Oryctolagus cuniculus: one gene and its partner. The protein of the gene in region 1 purifies or fractionates together with the protein of each later gene. This does not show direct contact. Links are inferred from orthologs where the notes say so. Each region holds a gene or a part of one and is shown on either strand. Other genes may lie near its edges.

The links.
Region 2: the proteins of CDC42BPB (region 1) and FAM167A purify together in Homo sapiens (co-immunoprecipitation; 3 studies listed by BioGRID and IntAct, counting the BioPlex papers as one, with this or other methods). This does not show direct contact. The link is inferred for Oryctolagus cuniculus from reciprocal best matches to the Homo sapiens genes CDC42BPB and FAM167A.

The regions. Positions count from the first base shown.
Region 1 is NC_091451.1:46,105,728-46,110,111, reverse strand, and holds the start of CDC42BPB (serine/threonine-protein kinase MRCK beta), read left to right. Parts: upstream 1-1,501; 5' UTR 1,502-1,883; coding exon 1,884-2,058; intron 2,059-4,384. UniProt on the Homo sapiens protein: Serine/threonine-protein kinase which is an important downstream effector of CDC42 and plays a role in the regulation of cytoskeleton reorganization and cell migration. Regulates actin cytoskeletal reorganization via phosphorylation of PPP1R12C and MYL9/MLC2.
Region 2 is NC_091433.1:43,032,292-43,036,785, forward strand, and holds the start of FAM167A (protein FAM167A), read left to right. Parts: upstream 1-1,534; 5' UTR 1,535-1,935; intron 1,936-3,281; exon of another isoform or gene 3,282-4,494.

The DNA of each region.
Region 1 (4,384 bases):
CATCGCAGTGAACCAGCAGATGGAAGATCTCTCTCTCTCTCTGTTTCTCCTCCTCTCCCTGTCACTCAGCCTTTCAGATAAATGTCTTAAAAAACGCCACTGGCGTGCGGGCACTCAGGCCCAGTATGGACTGATCCAAGGGTGTTAACCCACTCAGTTGTCTCAAACTCAGTGGAATGCAGAGGTAGGTCCAGTTATTCTCTTTACTACGCCCGCACTCGTTGAGGGACAGGAAGATGTGTGGTTCCAGACTACGGGCAGGTCTCACAGGCACCCACGGTGCCAGGTGCTGGGCGGGACAGGGGGGCCTGGTCTTGCCCAGGACGCCGGCCAAGGCTGCGCTGCAGGAGCAGCACGGCCAGCAGCGGCAGGGCCGGCGGATCGAAGGTCCAGCGAGAGGACAGTGAGACTGAAAAGGGGGTGTGGCTGGGCAGGCGGCAGAACACGCTGTCCACAGGGACACTCGTGGGAGCAGAGGTCACTACCCGGGGACAAAGGTGAAAACCGGGGGGTTGGGGGCCTGGCCAGACTCCGAGTCTGCTCACCCTCCCCAGGGGCCACGGCAGAGTCTGGGCTCTATCCTAAAGCGCGAGTTTCGACTAGGGATTATTATTTTAATTGAGACTTGATACACACACGGTACAGCGAACAAATATTTAGGGTACAGTGCGTGACCTGTGTACGAACAGCTCCACCTAACTGGACGGGCCAGACCTAGCCGGGGCACGCTGCGAGCCCCTCCAGCCTCGCGCCCCCAAAGGTGGCCGAGCCCGAACGTTTCAGATGCCGGGGACTCGCACTGCCGGCAGCGTACGGCTTGAGAGCGGTGCACTTACGCCCCTGGGTACCCCGCACCCAGACCGAGCTCCAGGACCTGGCCTGCAGCCCGCACTGCCCTGGGACCCCCTCCGGAGGCGGCCGTCCTCCGACTCCCATCTCCAGGGCCGGCTCTGCCCCCGGCCGCCCGCCCCCCGCCGCGACCTCCCACTCCCAAAACGCCCGGAGCCCTAGTCTCCCGACGCCAAAGGTCTGCGGCGGTGCGGCTGGGGTCTCCGCCAGCCGCCTTCCCTGGCCACCCGGACACACCCGCAACCTCAGCGAGCGCGGGGCCTCGGCCCGCCTCCCGCCAGCTCTGCGGGCAGGGCAGGCTGCGCGGTGGGCAGGGGCATCCCGCGCTCCCGACGCGCGGGCGGCACGCCCCGGCCGGGCCGGAGCCTCCCGAGGCCGCTCTCCCGGGCAGCGCGCGCGGCCAGCCCTCGTGCCCGCCGCGCCCAGCGCCGCCGCCCCGCAGGCCGGCCGCTCTGCGCACGCGCCGGCCGCAATCTCGGCGGCCCACCCGCCCCGCCGGCGTCCGGTCTGGCTACGGCGAGCGGCGAGGCCCGAGCCCGCAGCAGCCAGCCGCGAGCGCGGGGCGGGGCGGGGCGGCGCGCTGAGGTCAGCGCGGCGAGGGCCGGCCCCGCCGCGGTTGGCTGCGCCGCGCTGGCCGCGCCCTGGTTGGCTGCGGGCCGCGGGGCTGGGCCGCCGGGTCGGGGCTGGGGTCGGGCTCGGGCGCCGGCCGGGCTTGCGCAGCGCTCGGCTCCGCGTCGCCCGGCGTCGGCCGTGTGAGGGCGCGGCCGCCGGCGGGGCTGAGGCCCGGGCGGGCGGGAGGCGGTGGCCGAGGGGCGGAGGCCGGCCCATGGACCCGCGGGGCCCGGCGCCTCAGACTCTGCGCCGCGGGGACGGAGCCCAAGATGTCGGCCTAGGCCGGGGCGCGGCGACGCGGACGGGGCGGCGGCCGGGCGCTGAGGGGACTCGCGGCCGCCGGGCCCCCCGGGGCTCGCGCTGACGGGCTGGCCGAGCGGGCGGCGCGTGGCCGGTGCGGGGAGAGCGGGCGGCGCGGCACCATGTCGGCCAAGGTGCGGCTGAAGAAGCTGGAGCAGCTGCTCCTGGACGGGCCGTGGCGCAACGAGAGCGCCCTGAGCGTGGAGACGCTGCTCGACGTGCTCGTGTGCCTGTACACCGAGTGCAGCCACTCGGCCCTGCGGCGCGACAAGTACGTGGCCGAGTTCCTCGAGTGGGGTAAGTGCCGCGCCCGCGCGCGCCCCCGCATCCTGTCCCCGCGCGCCGCATCCCGGCTCCCATCCCCTCCCCCGCCCGGCCGTCGCCTGGCGGCTTCCGAGACCCACCCTCCGGGTCCGGATATCGTTTCCTGCAGCTCCCTGGGACATCCGCCCGCATCCTCGCCCCGCACTCGCCTCTGGGGTCCGCGGGCGGCGCGGAGCTATCTCCTGGGCGGGGGTCCGGCTCGACCGCCCCTTGCAGGTGACGTCCTGGCTGCGTCCCCTTGCTGTCCAGGGCCCTGGACGCCCGCTCTGCCGTAGCCCTTCTGAGAGCGTGTCAAGGCTGAAGGCTTTATTTCGGCTGCGCCATGCTCGAGCCGGTTGGTTTCCCCCTATTGTACTTGTGCCAGACCCCTGTGCCCTGGCGGTAGCCGGAAGTGTGGCTTCTGCTCCTCGCACGCGGAGGCACCTGTACGGCCGCGGTCGGCGCCAGGCTGACCCGGGATGCTGGTGGGCAGGTTGGTTAGGGCTTTACGGGGTAGTTAGAATCCCGAAGGCTGGTGGGAGTGTAAGGTGAGACCGGAGAGACCCAGGACGGAGGAGGAGGAAGCAGTGCCTCCGTTCCGGCCGAACCTCGGGAAGGCGTCTCGCTGGGCCACGTTTGGTGCTGGGTGCCGACCATGCAGCCAGCACCGCGAGTTCTCGTCTCTGGGCCCACGCAGCTGATATTTCTGCGAAGAGACAGTGAGTGGGGTCCGCACTGGGCCCCCTCTGCGCCGCGGTGCTCGAGCTGGAGTTGCTGTGGGCGCTTCGGTGTGGGATGGATGTGGTGGAGCAGCCCTGCTGTTTCAGGGCCACCGATCCAGGTTCCGGGGTTCCTTATCCACGCCCTGATGTCCAGCCGAACAGTGGACGGCTCTGGTTGCTTTGCGGGTGGGGCCTCTGGGACGCGGACGGCCGGGCCTCTCAGCGGTTGGGCTGGTGCAGAGGAAGGGCTGGGCTAGCTGGTGCGGTGTGCGGGACGCCGGGGCAGGGCGTCCAGGCGTGTGCCGGCAGTCCCTGTGCGAGGCTGCGCAGAGGCAGAGCTGTGTGCTGAGGGTCTGGCTCTCTGGAGATCCCGGTTACGAGTGACTTGCATGACTGCAGGGACTCTCCAGGTGGTGCTTTGCTGCCGTTAATACATCGCAGCGGCTGGGCGCCTGCACCCGCGTGGGAGACCAGAAGGACGCTCCTGGCTCGATGGAAGGAAGAACTTTCTCTCTGTTTCTACCTCTCACTGTCTGTAACTCTGCCTCTCAGATGAATAAATAAAATCTTAGAAAAAAATATTGTAGCAGCATGAAAATCTCGAGGCAGTGCATGCCGCCGCCGTGACTCACGGCATGGTTCGAGCCAGGGCCTTCGCTGGCCGTGTGCAGTAGCACGGCCTGGTGACTTCCGCTGGAGGATGAGGGCTGTTCTTCAGACCCGACTGTGGGGCGTGATCAGGCACCCAGCTTCCGGGGTGGGGGTCACGGGTGCTCGCAGGGCACCGGGTCTGTGTGCAGGGGAGCGAGGGACTGGCCGCCCTGGGGAGTGGGGAGCCGGCCGGCCTCTCTCCACCTCCCACGTCTGTGCCAGGTAGCCAGGGACAGTTACATAGGATTCTTGACATGTAAGAAGGGAAAGCAGTTGACTCCATTTAGATTTTGAGACTTCCTGGGAAGGCTTTGAGGGAATTTGGAAAGTGTAGGTTATCATGTTCTGAAGTTTCAAAGGGAGTTTGTTTCTGGCCCTTAAATTTCTAACTGACATCAGAGTCCTGCACACACTTGCGGTGCGGCATTGATGCACGTGCACAGCGTGACTTCCCGCTGCACCCGCGTGCCGGACAAAAGTCAGCTCAGCTCTCTGGACTTTTGTTTAATTTTCCTTTGATTGTGTTTATAATTTGATTGGCTTCCTCTGAAATCCTGGGCCTCAATTAAAAGTTGGAAATGCTCTGTTTTGCATGTGTATTTCTTTAAACAAATTTTTTTAAAATGTAAATTTGATGCCATTTGAAGCAGAGCGAATGAAACACTTTAAAATTTCCTCAAGTAAATACAACCAAATGTAAAAATACTTTTTTCATGTGTTCGGTGGTTTTTTTCACAGCTTAAATGCGACAGCTAGCGTCTCATTTGGACGGAGCTGATGCTTGCAGCCCCAGCCTGTTGGTGATGGACAGCCTGGGGCCCTCCGCTCTGGTCCCTGGAGAGACCGCGGGGCAGGAGCGAGGCAGACCTGCTGTCCGTCCCTGCCCAGGGCCTCGTCTCAGCAGGCGCTCCCTTTGCCTTTCTAGACTTTCTGTTAATTCCCTCTTG
Region 2 (4,494 bases), on another chromosome or scaffold:
TTCAAATATCAGCTCAGCCCCCTGTCCCTCTTCACACATGTGTGCTCTCTTGCCTTTCCGCTTTCTGCCATGGGCTGATGCCGTGCAAAAGCCCTCACCAAATGCAAGCTCCTCAACCGTGGACTTGCCAGCCTCTAGGATTGACTCTCTGTGCTTTCTAAGTTACCTGGTCTCAGGGATTCTGTTCTGCACAAAGTGGACCAAGTTACCCCATATGAAAGCATCTACACTTTCAGAAACAGAAGCCAGGAAACAAGTTGGGTGCACGTGGGGGATGGTGGGCTGGACAGCTCCACCAAGAGGCCAGGTGTCAGGGCTAGGAATGCACATGCCGAGCCCAGCACTGTGGTCAGGGGCAGCCAGCACTAGGGAGGATGTGGAGTCCCCAAGGCTGTGTCCAGCCTCCTGCCCTCCCAGAGCCTGGCTTCCCAGAGGAGGACAGGACTACAACTGGGCCTTGAAGAGGAGTTGGTAAGGCCACGGGCACCTGGTACCCTGGGGCTCCCTGAGGAGGCAGGAGCTGGGGGCAGCCTGTGTACAGAGATTGGCAGAGTACCTGAGAAGCAGAGCATGTGTGTGAGGCAAGGTCCCAGAGGCAGACCGAGGCCAGGCTAAGTTTGATCATCGTAGAACTCTGAGAACCTTTCAGCAGGGAGAAGCCGGAATGGGAGCTCCATGTTATAGACTGCTCTGGGCGTGGAGGGATGATGATTGGTTTGGAGGGCACCCAGCGTGGATGTCCACAGGCTGTTGCCTCCTCTGGCTGGGGTGGTGGTAGGGAGACGGGAAGAAGTGGAAAGCATTAGAGCCATGTTTAGGAGCCAGAATCACGAGATCCAGGTCAATGCTGAGTCTCCAGGCGACCCCCGTTAAAATGCACCTGCTGGCTTACAATGATTAACTTGTGCGCTTGCAGGGGCTGCTGCTTGGGCAGGGAGTCTCCTTACACAAAGTCCCCTACAGGACTTCTAAATGGGAGGGGCTAAGGCCCCACAGAAGCAAGGCCAGCACTCGGGTTCTAGATGTGTGTGCGCGGGTAAGGCCCGGCCTTCGCCCCCCGTGTGGCTGAGAACAGCAGGTGGAATAACTGAAAGAGCCTTCCAACCCCAGCCGCCTATCACAGGTGCTTGGCTGGTGACGGAAGCCGGCTTCCCATACAGAGCCCTCGGGCAGGGAGGTGGCGGAGCGTGTGCGTGGGCCAGCGCCCCTGTCTGCAGCCGGACTCGGTTCCCGAGACCGGCCGGCACGGGCAGCCCTGGCTGCTGTGCGAGTTTCGGACGCAGTAGGGTCTGGGTCTCCTGTGGCCGCGGGCGCAGCGCGAGAGGCGAGCCCTCCCGGGGCGACGGCCAGCCCCGCGCCCGGCTTCTCCTTGACGCGCCCGGCAGCTGCTTTCCCGTCTGTGGGGCTGCGAGGGCGGCAGCCGGCAGGCGCCTGGGCAGGGCCACGGGCCAGCAAGCCCCGGTGGTGGAGGGCAGGCTCCAGGCGTGGGGTTCCCGGCCCCGCCACGCAGGCAAATTGCTGACAAGGGCAAAGCCACGTGCCAGACTTGCGGGGAAACTGCCTGAGCTTCGGGTTTAATGAGGAAAATGGGATGTTTGGGTTTGGTTTCGTCTGGGATTTGGCGGATGCACCCGGCCCGCCTCCCATCGCGGGTTGGGCCCCCGGCGGCGGCGCAGGCGAAGTCGGGGGGCTTTAGGACCCGGCGCTGAGCGCTCGGACCCCGGCGGCCGTCCCGGGAGAGGCCCGCGCGGGCCGAGGCTTGAATGGGAGGCCGGCGACGTCGCCGCTGAAAGGCCGGCGGCGGAATAGCTCTGCCGTCGCCAGGCAACCGCCCTGACGCAACGCGGAAAAAAGGTCCCCTAGCAAAAGAATAGTGCGGAGAATTGAGAGGCGCGCGGGAGCCGGGCGCGGCGGGGACGGCGGCCGCACCAGGAGGTGGGTGCGCACCGGTCAGGCGCGGAGACCTCGCGGGGGCCGGGGCGGGGATGGCGCGGGCTGGGCGGCTCCCCGCGGGGCTGGCGGCGGCGGGAGCCGCCCGATCCTGTCGCCGTCCCCAAGGGGACGCTGCCCGCGGCGGGGCTGGGGTCCCGCCTCGCCCCCTGCCCAAATCGCGGGGCAGCCACGGCCGGGCTCCATCTTCCGTCTCCTCGCCGGCCTCTCCCAGGGCCAGGATTCCGGGTGGAGACTTGGCGCGCGGGCGGGGGGTGGAGGGAGGGTCTGTGGTCTGAGAGAGAGGGACTCCCAACTCTGAATCCCTGAAAATCTACCTACCCCCAGACCACGCGTGACCGCAGCCCACCCCGTCTGCCCTGTCTACTTGCCGGCCCCAGGGAGGCGGCCGCTGAACTCGGGAGAAGTGACCCGGGGCACATGGGCCCAAGGGTGCTGTAGGCATGAAGCCGGGGTGGTCTCAGGGTGCTTACAGCCAGAGGGGCCTCTGGGAGTGAGAGGATCCATCCTGAAACTGAGAACAACCCTTGAACCAGGGCGAGGGGCACCGAATCACGCAGCGGTGTAGGATGGTGGTGGATGTGTGGGAACCCCTGCTCGCAGCTGGTTTTTATTCCCCATGGTACTTGGAGGCAGCTCTGGGCGCGGCGGCTAGGAGAAGACCTGGAAGGTGGGTGAGCTATGGTCGCTATCCCGTCCCCACAGGCAGTTTCTCCTCAGTCAAGTTTCCCCAAAGTCTGGGCGGTTCCTGGAGAGTCCCAGACGATGAGGCCAGGTCCTCGGGCGCAGGGACCAGAGTGCCCACGGCGGTGAAATTGCAGAACAGCTTCCCTTTGCCACACAGGAGGGAGAGTGGAGCATGTTGGCCAGGAACTGGGAAAGCGGAGGCGGCCGTGGCGCCAGTGCCCTGACAGCCCTGTCTGTAGGACAAGGGGCTTCTGCCAGCGCGTTTGGGGGGCGGGGGGGGGCTTGGCCGAGCGGCGCCTGCCGTCCTTACAGTGGACACAGATGACAGCTCCCCTGTCCCCACCGTGCCCTGCTGAGCGCCTTGGCATCTACAGGGTGCTCTGTCCTCACACCGCCCTGCGAGGCGGGGACTGAATTATCTGCCTGTTGCCAATGGGATTCCCAGGGGCTAAGTAACTTGGTGGTACTCACACTGCTGGCGAAAGAGCAGATTCAGGGTCAAGTGCTCGACTCCTGAGACTCCTAAGACAGTGCTCTCAGGAGTAGAACAGGGGAAGGCTGCTCCAGGGAACGCAAGCGGAGTGAGGTCCAGGGAGGGGGAAGACAGCAGTCCCCAGGTGGCAGCGAGCCAGGGGGTGGGCTCCTCGTAGCTGCCCGGCCATCCCCAGGGCCCTGTGCACCCAGAGACGCCATTCCTCGCACCAGGAGCCTCAACAGCTTTGCCGTGGGGCCTAGCCAGGCTCAAGCCTTCTCTTCCAGCAGACAGAGGAGCCACACCCCCTTCTCCTTGCAGACCCAGAGACCCCCTCCTCCTGTGCACTTGCTCCTGTCCTCCCAATTACCTGCATGGTTTCCTCTAAATTGCCCGCGCCTGCTTCCATGTCCACCGGCTTGGCCTCCCTCCAGGAGGGACTGAAATGCATTAAGGCAGTGCCTGTTTGCTGTGAGAGAGCCACAGCACCCCAGGCCGGTGAGCAAGAACCTACTTGTTAGGCTCCGCACACACACACTGCTGGCTGTGCCTCTAGGTAAAACTTGCTGGCAGAAAACCGCCGTGGCCCGACAGGAGTGTCTGGAATTCCCAGAGGCCTCTGGGAGCTGTGCCATCCTCCACAACGGCTCTGTGGGATGTTGGGTTGCTTGGATGGGTGGAAGATCAGTGATATTTTGAGCTGTTTGCGCCTCGATTTACAGCCCAGGGTCAGGGAGTCCTCACCTGCCACCAAATGGAAATCCCTTGGGATCAACTGGGCTGGTTCTTAATATGCAAATGCACTGTGGAACCCCACCTGGTTTCCCATGTGGGTGGCAGCGGCCCAAGCACTCGGGTTCTCTGCTGCTGCTTTCCCAGGTTCATTAGCAGGGTGCTATGCACCCCATTACTTCAGGATGGTTTCTCCAGTGTGGCTGGAAATTCCTTTCAGGGCTATCCTGGTCCACTTGTGGGACCTGGTGACCCTCCCTCATAGGCTTGTCCCTTGGGACCTGGAGGGGTGGGCCAGGTCAGAGCCTGTTGTCCATGTTGAAGGGCAGGCGTGTAATGAGCCAGGCGCTGGCCTCTGTGGTGGCCACAGCGTCAGGGCTTCTTGAAGGTTGGACTTGCACTTCCTCATTCCAAGAAATCAGTGGAGCTGGGAACAGGAACATCAGGGGGAGGGAACCCTCAGGGGTGATGACCCCAGGAAGCTTCCAGATGAGGATGCTTGGTAGGTGGTCACTTAGGGACCCAGTCCCCACTGTCAGCCATGAAGTCACAGGTGACACTGCTTGCCCGGTCCTATGAGCATTTACACACTCTGTGCGTGGACACCGGGCTAGGTGAGACCCGACCTGGGCGCATTCAGCAGACAGATGTCT